Arabidopsis thaliana: one gene and its partner. The protein of the gene in region 1 interacts with the protein of each later gene in a biochemical or structural test. Each region holds a gene or a part of one and is shown on either strand. Other genes may lie near its edges.

Region 1 (6,962 bases):
GATGCCAATGGAGCTTCAAACAGAAAATAAGTTGACCTTTAAAAATAACAAAATTCTATATAATAATGATAATCAAAGAACATAATATAATTACGCTTAGATTATTATATAGATGACTTTGTATTTTGAACTTTTTGAATTTTAGACGTATAAGAAATGTTTTTCTGTAAGTTTGAAAACTCCTTTTTCTGTTTCCAAATCACATTTTTTTTTATCGAAATCTCACTGCTTTTATGGGGTTAATGGAGGACGAATAATTATTTTGTTACTCACGCATGCCCGATTATTCTGTGCTTCTGCAATTATTTTTTCGTTTAATACTGAAATTAATCTCTTTTTTTTTCGTGTCAGTGTCATCTACTTTCCATACAAAAAGTAAAAGCAAACTACTTTCTTCAGAAATTTAGACTAGTTGAGGTTTTGCATTGATTATAAAATCTGATTTTAAAAAAATCCTAAATGAACAGTTTTACTCTTTAATTAGAATCACATGACACATGTTACTTAATTGGTGATATTTAAATTTAAACAGAAATTAATATCTAGTGTTATCCAATTAACGATTTTGAAAAACAAACAAACCAACAAAAAAATATGTATTTCAAAACTAAATCTATATCAACCTTAACCTTCGACACATCATCTTCACTTTTAATTAATTTGTATGAATTATCAAAATAAAAATAAAAATTAATGTGCCAGCAATAAAATAATCAGAGAACATATATGTAATAAGATTACATATGAAGGAAGTTAGAGAGTTAAGACCAAGCTTCAACATTGTACCTCCCTGTCTTCTCCAAAGCCTTAAGCCACCGTGAAGCTACCTCCTTTGATCCTCCTCCTGTCTCCTCCGACACAATATCTTCGAAAGCCGACATCACATCACAAGGCATTTTCGTCGACGAGCCCGCCACGTAAACAGCGGCTCCATCACAGAGTAAATCCCAAACTCTCTTGCTCATTTCGCGGATCTTATGTTGCACGTAAACCTTCTTTGGTTGGTCTCTAGAGAACGCTGTGTAAAAGCCACCGCCTTTTCCTTCAGAGAGCATGCCTCCTTCTCTTGCGTGAGACTCCCAGAAATCGCGGTATAGAAAGTCTGTGTCTTTGTTTCTGCAACCAAAGAAGAACATGACGGGGGCAACCGGGCTAGACTGAGCTTGTACGGCTCTCTCAGCTATGAATCCACGGAATGGCGCACATCCGGTTCCGGGTCCCACTAAGATGAGCGGAAGCGACTGAGATGGAGCAGGAAGGGAGCCTTTGTGAAACCAAACCGGTATGTTTACCTCTAACCACAACCGAAGACAAAGAAAACATATCAGAAATAGAGAACTGAGCCATTCACAGTTATGGTAAAGAAGAAACAAACTTCTAACCTTGTTCAGGTGCGAGGCTTGCAAGCCAAGAGGAGCACAGACCTTTCCGAGTTCTCTTATAAGGCGTGATCCATGATACTATGCTTACAGTCAAATGTACTGCGGCAGGGTGGGCCAAAGGAGACGAAGATATCGAAAAAGCTCTTGGTTTTAGCGGTGGGACTAACTGTACTAGCCAATCAAAAGGGATTTGTACGGAAGGAAAATCCTCTAGCACCTACATAGGCATTAGCAATACGATTGGTTAAGAGAGTGAATGCATATTCAAGACGAATCATGAACCTGTGAGATCTGGTGCTATTTTACCTCAAGAATGCTTCTTCTTTCCTTCTGATTGTAATTGTAGAGATCATCCCGCCCCTCGGGTGAGGCAAAGTATTGAAGTCTTTCCTTCTCATGTTCAGCTGTTGCATAGAAGCTCATAATCTGAACAGAGATGATACATCATACATTACAAGGGTGTCCATCAAATACTTGTCTCATAAAACTCAAAGGACTTTCATAGATTTGAAATTCAAATGCATTAGAACTGAATGATTGAAATTAAAGGGTTCTTACCTCAAAGAAGTATCGTCGAGGTGAAGCGGATGTAACATCCATTGTTAATTCAACAAAAGTCTTAAGCTTAATAGGGATCTGTGTAATCATTTCTTCACTAAAACTACTATTCTCTGTCTCTCGCGGACCAACCTGAAAAAAAAAATAACTCTCGGGATTTATTTTGAATAACAATCTGAGATAATTTTATATCACAAGAGTGGAGCTACTTACTGTAATGAATGATTCTGGGTCTAAACCGCAGCGTTCTATAAACGCATCTACCACTGAAGAATTTTGGCTTGGAAGAAGCTCAACAACATCGCCAACTTCATATTCGATAGTCTTAAAAGAGTAGAAAACCAAAGAGGATAATAAGAAATCACCCTCAAAATCGACTGAACTTTGACCTAAGTAAGTGACAGCAAAGTACTTACAGAAGAAACAAACTGGAACTCAAAGTGGCGGACATCCTTTGTGCTTTCAGCTTTAGTCAAGACTTCATTGCGGGTCTACATGATTAGAATGTTAAGGCAAGCTAAGGGAATAAACCTCATATCATCTAGGCTTAGCATAATAATGCATACCAAAAGGCAAAATCAGATATTTTAAGAAAACATGTTAATCATCAAGCAACACACCAGATTCAAGGTAACAGAGGACTGGAATAGCATAACCAGTGAGGTTGACTAGCATATCAGAATGAAAAAGAAAAGGAATTTTTTGTTGGGCAACAGGATGAGCATACCATCTTGAGAAAGCAGTCTGGTTTACTTTTGTCCTTGAATAATTTTCCTGGGGACATTCCACGGGCTCTTTGTATGATATCTGCAAAAACATAAGAGGCATATTAAACAAGATAAATTCCCAAAAACATGTAATATGGTACCTAACCTTTTTCATGATGCAAGAGAAATTAGTTTCACGAGCCAATTGAAACATAACATTTGTGAGCCTACTTCCAGCAGATTCATTCAAAATGATTTTTATACCAACATTTCTAGCAATTACCATTAGCAAGTAGGCAATTCAATGTTAAGTAGCACAACATAGTCATAAATTAACATAAATGAAGCCAAGTATCCACTCAATAATTTTGGCATACCTGAATCTGACAATAATTTAGGCTCCAATTTCTCCTGCTTATGAAATAAAATCCTATATTTAGGCTTATCAATTACTTCATCTTGAGGAATTTTCACATCTGGACCTTTAGGAAAGTATTTTGGATTGATCTGATATAATGTCCTCCACAAAGAAAGCATCCACGGATCAAGAGTTCCTTCATACCTGAAAATAAAGAAAACACCAAAACTGAAAACTTAGTATCCTAACACTGGACTAATAAAACTACAGTAAGAATGTAGATACAACTGACTGATCAAATGGTTCCTTCATATCTGAAAATAAAGAAAACACCAAAACTGAAAACTTAGTATTCTAACACTGGACTTTATAGTAGTATACCAGGAACAGTAAGAATGTGGATACAATATCTTCAACTGACCAAATGGTTCATCTGATTTCAAAGAATATTATGTAAAAGCAGGATTCTTTATTTGTTTTAATATACCGTATCATACCCTGATGGGTGTTGATCATCTCCTAGACCTTTTTCAATGATGGTTGTGGCCCCAAGATCTGATAATCTTTTGTCTAGCTTCTTTGCTACAAACTAAAGCCATCAGAAAGAGAATCATGTCATGAATTTGTGCCACAGAAGAATAAATCAGACAAATCTCACGATTTCTGGCAGTGAGGATTCTTTTACAAAAATAAAAAACCCTGAATAGAAAGGAGAAGGGTAAGTTTGCTAATATCATTCTTCCTTAGTAAAGCCTAGTTTTTTCTTCTCACATTGATTAAAACATCAAAAAAAATGTGGAGGAACTTGGGAATAGCCCAACATGGGGAATGTTAAAACAAAGCGAAACTGAATATAAATCATGTCATGAATTTGTGCCACAGAGAATAAATCATCCCACGATTTCTGGCAATGAGGATTCTTTTTACAAAAAGAAATAACCCTGAATAGAAAGGAAAGTTTGCTAATATCATTCTTCCTTAGTAAAGCCTAGTTTTTTCTTCTCACATTGATGAATAGATTAAAACAAAACTGGAGAAACTTGGGAATAACGAAACATGTGGAATGTTAAAACAAAGTGAAACTGAATATAAAGAGGCAGAAGAACTTACGTTGTACTTCTGGTAACCAGAATCACCTAGTCCAAACACTGCATAGCGAACTTGTTGCAACCAATAGTTTCCCAGATTTCTTTGAAGAAGAAACCTCCAAAATGCCTTGAATGATTGAAAAAGACAATGAACAATAATAAGCTACGATTAATTAAAAGCGTTTTACAGGAATAAACTAATTGGTAACAAATTTCAGGACTTTAAACGAACCTTAAAGGAATCAGGAGAGTCTCCTTGCCCTGTAGTGGAGACAACAAAAACAACAGCCTCCTCATGATGAGGTAAGGAACTCTGCAGAAAACAACACATGATAAAAAGGAAAACACTTTTATGTCGAGAGTTTGCGCTAACAGCTGATTATTGGCGAGGGGAAAACATATCAGCAATCAACAATTTTTGCAATTGAAAGGGGTTTGCTTCCAAAACATATTAGCAATCATCATATAAAAACGAAGCAAACCATCTTCCAAAACAAAGTAACGAGCTTTTAAAATCAAATTGGTTTTACTACACACATACCGTGTCGAATTCGTCGGTGGAGACGACAGAAGCTGGCAGTCCACGGCGTTCTGCTTCGCGGCCAATACGCTCCGCCGCATCAAGAGCGTTTCCGGTCTGAGAGGCATACAACACAAGCAGCTTCCTTTGTTTTTCTCCCATCGCCGCCACTGCCACCACCCGTCCGAATAAAGAATAACTGCACAACCGGATCCCGGTCTGATGATTTAAATTGGCAAGTTAAAATCAGAACCGAATTAAATCGAGAAATCTTAGTGGAGAACCAAATGTTTGTACCAGAACAACAGGGCATCTGCCAAGCCAAATTGATCTTGAACCAATGTACAGTGTGTTCTTCTTCTTCTAAGAGAGATGGTGAGCTTTCTACTTCACAGTCGTGCGTAAGAAGAAATCCATAAGGAGAATAAGATTACTTTCACTGTGGATTCGCCCATACTTAATTGAGAAGAACAGACTGCTAGGTTTTTTTTTTTTTTTGAAAAATACAAAGTCAAACTTGTAAAGTATACAATACGAATTAAACCACTAAACCAACATCTATATAACCGTATTTAACCAGCAATCCACGTATCAGAACAGAAATGTTGGTTTTTTCTTGTCTTGTTGATCTCTTAGCTTAATCCACCAAAAGACACAACAACACAATAAGTGGAAGACATGCAAAATTAGTTACAGAGCATAGTGCCTTGTAACTTGTAACTCGAAAATAAGACAAAAGTATCTGAAAAAAGATGGCTAGCAACATACATAGATGGACATTTTTGTCTCCACCAAAATCACAACTGTAATCATCTTCTCAAAATCAAAGGTAGAGTAGTTAAATCGTTTCAGACCTTACTCAAGTTAAGAAATACCTTGTCGAATATCTCAGAGGTTCGTTTTATTGTCATCTAATTTCCGATTATATCCCAAGTGTTGCAAGGCTTTTATTGAACAGCTCAAGTGGTTTGCATTGGTGGAAACATCTGTGGGACAAGTAAGAAAATTTGAACCTCAATTGTTCAATTTCATTCTTAAATGGAGCCTCAAATGGGGAACTTTTAGTATATATGTGTCTTAGAAGAAGCAGAGTTTACGCATGTATTCATTTTGTTATCATACTGTTTTTATGTTAAATTAGTAACAAAAGTTTTCATACTCTCTGCTTATGCCAACATTGGTGGTTACTTATGATTCCTATATAGGTCAGCAGAAGTATGTGTCTCATGTTCCTTGGTCTTCCAATGTGTGAAAGCGGTATGCAAAACCAAAAGACTTGGCGGTGGCTTTGAAACAAGATCAGCTTTCATTGCTGCCGCAGCTTCTGGTCCTTGTTACCTATTAAATCAACGATCGTGAAACTCACACTGGACAGAGATGTGGATAAGATGATAACTTGTCATCCCCATAGTTTCGTTGGTATCTCTATATTTCTCTGTTGATAAATTAGGATTGTTATTTTCAGTTGCATGTTAAAACAATCGAAGAAGCTTTTTACATGGTTTTGATGAAATGACAATAGATTTCGGTTCGGCGTACATAGGTTTTGAAATTACAAGTGATTTCTGTTTGGTTTAGATGGTTGTGAAATGAAAATTAATTTTGGTTCGGTTTGTATTAGAATAGTACGGTTTTGAGAAAAAAAAAACAAAAGAAAAAGTCACTCGAGGCTGTTTTGGAAACAAAGCGAGTAGATGTAAAATAGGCATGATTTTGTGGGTTTACCCCTACAGAAATCGACGACACGCGCTCAACGCGAGGTTGATGCGAGTGGGCGTGGTCCGGAGCGCGTGACGCGAAGTTGGTGCGAGTGGGCGTAGTCCGGTGCGCTCTGATTGGTTAGAAAAATGAAAATAGTTGTGTAGTAGCTCCTCCACTTCTCCTCTATTATTTCGTTTTTCGTCATTCTTTAGTTCTGAAAGTTGTGTAGTTTTAAGATTCAATTGAATCTTATTACGAGGTTTTTGGTTATTTTGAAATCATTGATTACTGTCACAAAAAAAAAATAGAAACTAGATTTTGAGATACTAAAATTTTTATTTTCATTTTGTTCTGCAACCATTAAAACTAGATTTAGCTGAGCCCCTAAAGAAATCAAAGTGAGTTGATATGTTTTCTTCACTAGAAAAGTTTTTGCCACTTTTATGACATAGTTATCGAGTATACTATAACATTATACAATATTTTTAAAAAATAGCATAACAATTGGTTTATACCATAAAAATTAGAGATGAGCTCTAACAAAAGTTAAGCTTATTAGAAAAAACACTAAAAGCGTAGAAGATTACTTTCATGGTGGATTCGCCCAAACTTGAGTTGAGAAGAACAGACTGCTAGGGCTTTTTCTTA
Region 2 (4,550 bases), on another chromosome or scaffold:
GTGGATGCGGCTAATTACTTGGTTGAGATGACAGAGATGGGTTTGGTTCCGATATCACGGTGCTTTGATATGGTTACTGATGGGTTGAAGAATGGCGGGAAGCATGATTTGGCTATGCGAATAGAGCAGTTGGAAGTTCAGCTTAGAGGAGTTTGATACTGCTAAGAAAGGCTTTTGAGGCTTCTCCTAAACTCGGATACTTGGGATTCTGTAGAAATTCAGCTACTTCTCCATTGATCTACCCTGTATATCTTGTAGTCGAAGCTTGTCTAACTGTTGGTTAGGTTATACTTCGGTTTGGGGGTTGAGTTTAGTTGGTCTCCTGACTAGTTTCTTTCCAGGGAAAGTGGCGAGAAACATTTTGTTGTACTACTGTTTTTTTTATAGATCCATCTGTCAGATCAAATTTACGTATTGTGCTTTTCGTACAGATTACGACAGATGAATCTTCAGAGCTCACATTACCAAAGAAACAGTGATGCACATAATACAAGCTCTGATGTTAATGCATTGATTCGTTTGCAAAACTAAGGTCCAAGCCAGACAGAGAAATAATTATTTAACCAATGCAAAACCGTTCTTCATTGATACTAAGGTGTGTGCTTTGTGGGCAACCCAAACAATATTCTACAAGCTTTTAGAGCCACAAAATAAAAGAAGTACCAACAAACAAATTATACGAAAGGGCACAAAGTAAATGATGAAACTACTCTGCGATTAGCAAAAGGTTTTGGCCTCGGCGAGAAACACCCATGTATGAAGATGCCTTTCACATGCTTATATGTCAGCTTCAAGGAAGTTTTGAGATAGGGTTACCTAAAGAGGAAGAAAAGTTACATGAATAAGGTGTATTCTTAAAAGGATTAACAAGACTTTACAATGGTGATAGATATAAAGGATTCAGTTACCTTCTCGCCTAATTTGAAGGGTGGCAGACCCTTGTAAGGGCATGTACCGCAGCGGAAGGCATCACCGAGCCCACACTGAAAGAATTGTTTAAGAAATTTTCAGTCTTGTGGAACCAAAAATCCAATGCATACTGAGAAAGAGATGGGTAAAGAAGCTTACGCTGCCGCATGATGATTGTGGATTCTCGATTTGATCCTCTGTGAGGCCCAGCTTCACAGCTTTCTCCTCAATTTCAGCTCTACCACAGACGCAGTTCTTGCAAGCTTTTTTAGTGGTCTCACAACCGCTGGCTGCAAAAGATGCAAGATATCTTAAACACAAGGAATGATATAAGGATAACAAAGATCATGTGGCTGTCTTTAATTACCAACAGGAAGCTGTGGCTTCATCAAGTCCTCCTCTGTTAAAAGAGAATCTTCATCAATAAGATCCACGTCGTCATCTAGATCAATCTTAAAGAGATTTGTTACAGGCTTTTTGAGAGCAAATGATGAACCAATCTTCCAAGAAGGTTTCTTTGCCTTAATCTGCATTTGACAACATGATTAACTGTTATATGATGAGACAAAGTGAGAGTATATATGCAAGTTTGACAGATAAGTAGAATGAAGATCTTTTATCCTTCATGTTAAAGGCCTAGAATAAGCCTGAACCGAAAAAGCAAGCTTATATTCTTATTTCCGTTCAAGAAAAAACGTTTCCTCATACTAAAAGAAAGAGAAGATAGACAGGACGTGTAAAAGTGCTCACCCCAAAGGATAAACTGAACGTAGACAATTTAATTGATTTCAAATCAAGACACTGTGGCTCAAGAAAACCAGCCAATGTCACTCTCCTTTGAATGGTCTGCAAGGAAGACGCCATAAGATTAATAAAGAAAAGTTCAAAGACACCCCATTATACATAGACTAGATACACGACACAAACCTGTTGAATTTCTCCCGTTTCACCCTCCAAAACTTTGCACACAGAAACCGTGCCGCCAGGCTTCAAGATTCTTGAGAACTCACCACATATTTTATCACTTGGGAAATCAGATGTTTTGGAAATGGCTAATACCGCCTCCACAGAGGAAGCATCCAAAGGAAACTGATCTGCAAAAATAATCAATAGTCCAACATAAAGAGAAGAGGACACAAAAGAATATCCCACAGCATGTCGTCTTCAAGTGTTCTCACCCTACAAAATTGCTCATCTCTCCATATACAGACACGAATCTTCCTATCTACATACACACCAGACTAACCATACTACAAGCTTAACTAAAGCAGTCTAACAACTATTTCATAACCTGAGCTAAAAAAAAAAATCGGAGAACAATTAGGAACAGAGATTTACTTATTGTGGATGCTTGAGTAATAATCAGAGGATCAAAACTCTCAATCACTTCCTTTCCAAGCTCTTTCATTATAGCTAAAACAGAGCTAACAGGTAACACCACATCATCCGTCACAGCCAAAACAGTCTTCTGATTCATCATCGAATCCTACAAACCAAAAAACCCAAAAACATTAAAAGACTAAACTTTGAAAATAAAATCCACAGATCATCAAGCTACAAACACAAAAAGCTAACAACTTTTATTGCTTTTTACAACCTAAAGAAGCAATTTTTTTCTCCCGAAGCTCTTATGACATGCAAATGAATCAAGAGAAACAAATAATCGATTCGCGCAACCCAACACAAGGCTAAAAAGTTTAGAGATACACAAAAACAGAAATCGATCTGAGGAACAACAAACAATCAGAAAATAAAATTGAAGATAGACAACAGAAACATTAACTTACCATAATGGAGAAATCTATGTAAAACCTCGCGAGATACTCAAAAACCCTAAAAATATATATATAGCTGTGTAAATTGTTTGCCTTTGAAGAGGAATAAGAAAAATCAAATCTTCTGACCTTTGTCTCTCTCGCTGGCTTTTTTATATCTTTTTCGCCGACTCTTTCCTTTTCCTTGGTTCTGCTATAACGCGGTTTGGTCAAACCGGGTTTACGTAGAGAAATCAGGAAAAAAAAAAAAAACGGGTTACCCGATTGTTTATTGTGTTTTTTAAAACGGGTTCGGATCCAAAAGTAATAGATACGGCCCATTTAGACACACGGGCTTAGTGCCCATTTTAATATGAAAAAAAAAAAAAAACTACTTTTAAGAAAAAAAACGTTAACTACTGTATTTTGTAACATAAATAAAAGGTATATATATATGACATTGTGACACTATCTCATATTAATAACTTCTAAGGAAAACAAAATGAAGACAATTGTTTGTTTCTTAACTATTCTAATCTTAGTTTCATCATGTAAGTATTTATAACTTAATCTTAGAATCAAACGTATATCAATAATTTAACTATATTTTCTTTCTCTAATAATATTTTAGTTAATAATAATCTTGTTGTATAATAATAGGTGAATCGAAGAACAAGAAAGTGGTGATAATACCGGGCCCAAAAGGAGAGCGTCCTGATATTAAGGTGGTAGAAGGCCCATCAACAGTTGAAGATGACTTTTGTTACGATTGTGTACGTCGTTGTATGGTAAAGGGTGTCGGTTTCTATTTTCGTAGTTGTAAAGGCTTTGTCTGTCGTTGTTATTATCCATTCATGGGTGGCTACGGACCGTAGTTACAAAAACTTTGTCATTGTTATACACCTATAGTTTGGTGATGATTATTGATCATCATTTCTATAATTAATCAAATAAAATAAATTTTCTTGTTTTCCTCTTTTCTTAACGATTTTTTATGTAAGTTTTCTGTCATATATTGATTTCGATGATTCAACCATCTATAAGTGAGTGCTACATTTTCTAATCTTTTGCTTTCACTTATTTCTCACAAGTTTAATCTTAAAATTCACTGTTTGCGCCAAAAAAAAAAAAAAAAAAAAACTGTGATTACTTGTAGAAATACTTCGGATTTCGCAACTAATAAAACAGTTTTGTTTTAATTAACGTTTGATAGGAGAAAACAAAATTAGCAGTTTTTTGGTCTTATAATGAAACAAAAGGACACATCTTCCATATATCAAAATATAAAGAAACAAATCAACAATCGTCATGAAATGCCTCTCTGAGGTAATTAAAGTCTCGAAAGCAGACACATCATTCTCAAACCTGATATGTGACAGCAGTGCGCGGCTTTGTTTGATGGCACAAGCCGTTTTGTCTTCGAGAGGACAACGAGCTTTAAGCATGGAGAAGATATGGTTGTTTAGCCGCCCAATCGAGCTTTCTTCATCTCTTCCAACAAACCGTCCCGATGGGTCGCACGCCCGACACACATGTTTGGCCTTGTGTGTCCATAACTCAAAATAGGTGACCATCCCTTTCTTACACATTAAAAAAGAAGAAAAAAAAAAGAACATTCAGACAGAGAATGAGTGGATTCGACACCTCTAAATGTAACTACATATGCATTCATTAGAACAAAACGATTATAATTTTATTTTGTATATCACTTAACATATAAAAAGTTCATAAACAAAACGATCAAAAAGTTTGTGAGTATTATCTTTTAATCTGAAATAAACATTCAATTACTAAATACCATAACTATGCTATTACTTCTTTGAAAGATAAATGTTACTTATAAAATTAATTATTTTGTAACATAAGTAAAAGATATATATATGACAC

What was found. Proteins that work in one complex are often made in the same cells at the same time.
Region 2: the proteins of AT3G02280 (region 1) and AT5G18400 form a complex in vitro, tested with the Arabidopsis thaliana proteins (one study listed by BioGRID).

What each region holds. Positions count from the first base shown.
Region 1 is NC_003074.8:451,459-458,420, reverse strand, and holds AT3G02280 (Flavodoxin family protein), read right to left. Parts: upstream 5,093-6,962; 5' UTR 4,911-5,092; exon of another isoform or gene 4,833-4,910; 5' UTR 4,776-4,832; coding exon 4,635-4,775; intron 4,407-4,634; coding exon 4,326-4,406; intron 4,221-4,325; coding exon 4,116-4,220; intron 3,595-4,115; coding exon 3,503-3,594; intron 3,210-3,502; coding exon 3,025-3,209; intron 2,748-3,024; coding exon 2,668-2,747; intron 2,432-2,667; coding exon 2,357-2,431; intron 2,265-2,356; coding exon 2,154-2,264; intron 2,073-2,153; coding exon 1,941-2,072; intron 1,809-1,940; coding exon 1,689-1,808; intron 1,600-1,688; coding exon 1,383-1,599; intron 1,295-1,382; coding exon 762-1,294; 3' UTR 552-761; downstream 1-551. UniProt on the Arabidopsis thaliana protein: NADPH-dependent reductase which is a central component of the cytosolic iron-sulfur (Fe-S) protein assembly (CIA) machinery.
Region 2 is NC_003076.8:6,092,178-6,096,727, forward strand, and holds AT5G18400 (Cytokine-induced anti-apoptosis inhibitor 1, Fe-S biogenesi), read right to left. Parts: upstream 2,904-4,550; 5' UTR 2,700-2,903; coding exon 2,697-2,699; intron 2,598-2,696; exon of another isoform or gene 2,507-2,597; intron 2,396-2,506; coding exon 2,248-2,395; intron 2,004-2,247; coding exon 1,837-2,003; intron 1,756-1,836; coding exon 1,660-1,755; intron 1,437-1,659; coding exon 1,277-1,436; intron 1,200-1,276; coding exon 1,069-1,199; intron 984-1,068; coding exon 909-983; intron 817-908; coding exon 778-816; 3' UTR 505-777; downstream 1-504. Other genes in the region: AT5G18390 (Pentatricopeptide repeat (PPR) superfamily protein), read left to right, coding at 1-156; AT5G18403 (Putative membrane lipoprotein), read left to right, coding at 3,166-3,214, 3,324-3,538; AT5G18404 (uncharacterized protein), read left to right, coding at 3,972-4,229. UniProt on the Arabidopsis thaliana protein: Component of the cytosolic iron-sulfur (Fe-S) protein assembly (CIA) machinery. Required for the maturation of extramitochondrial Fe-S proteins.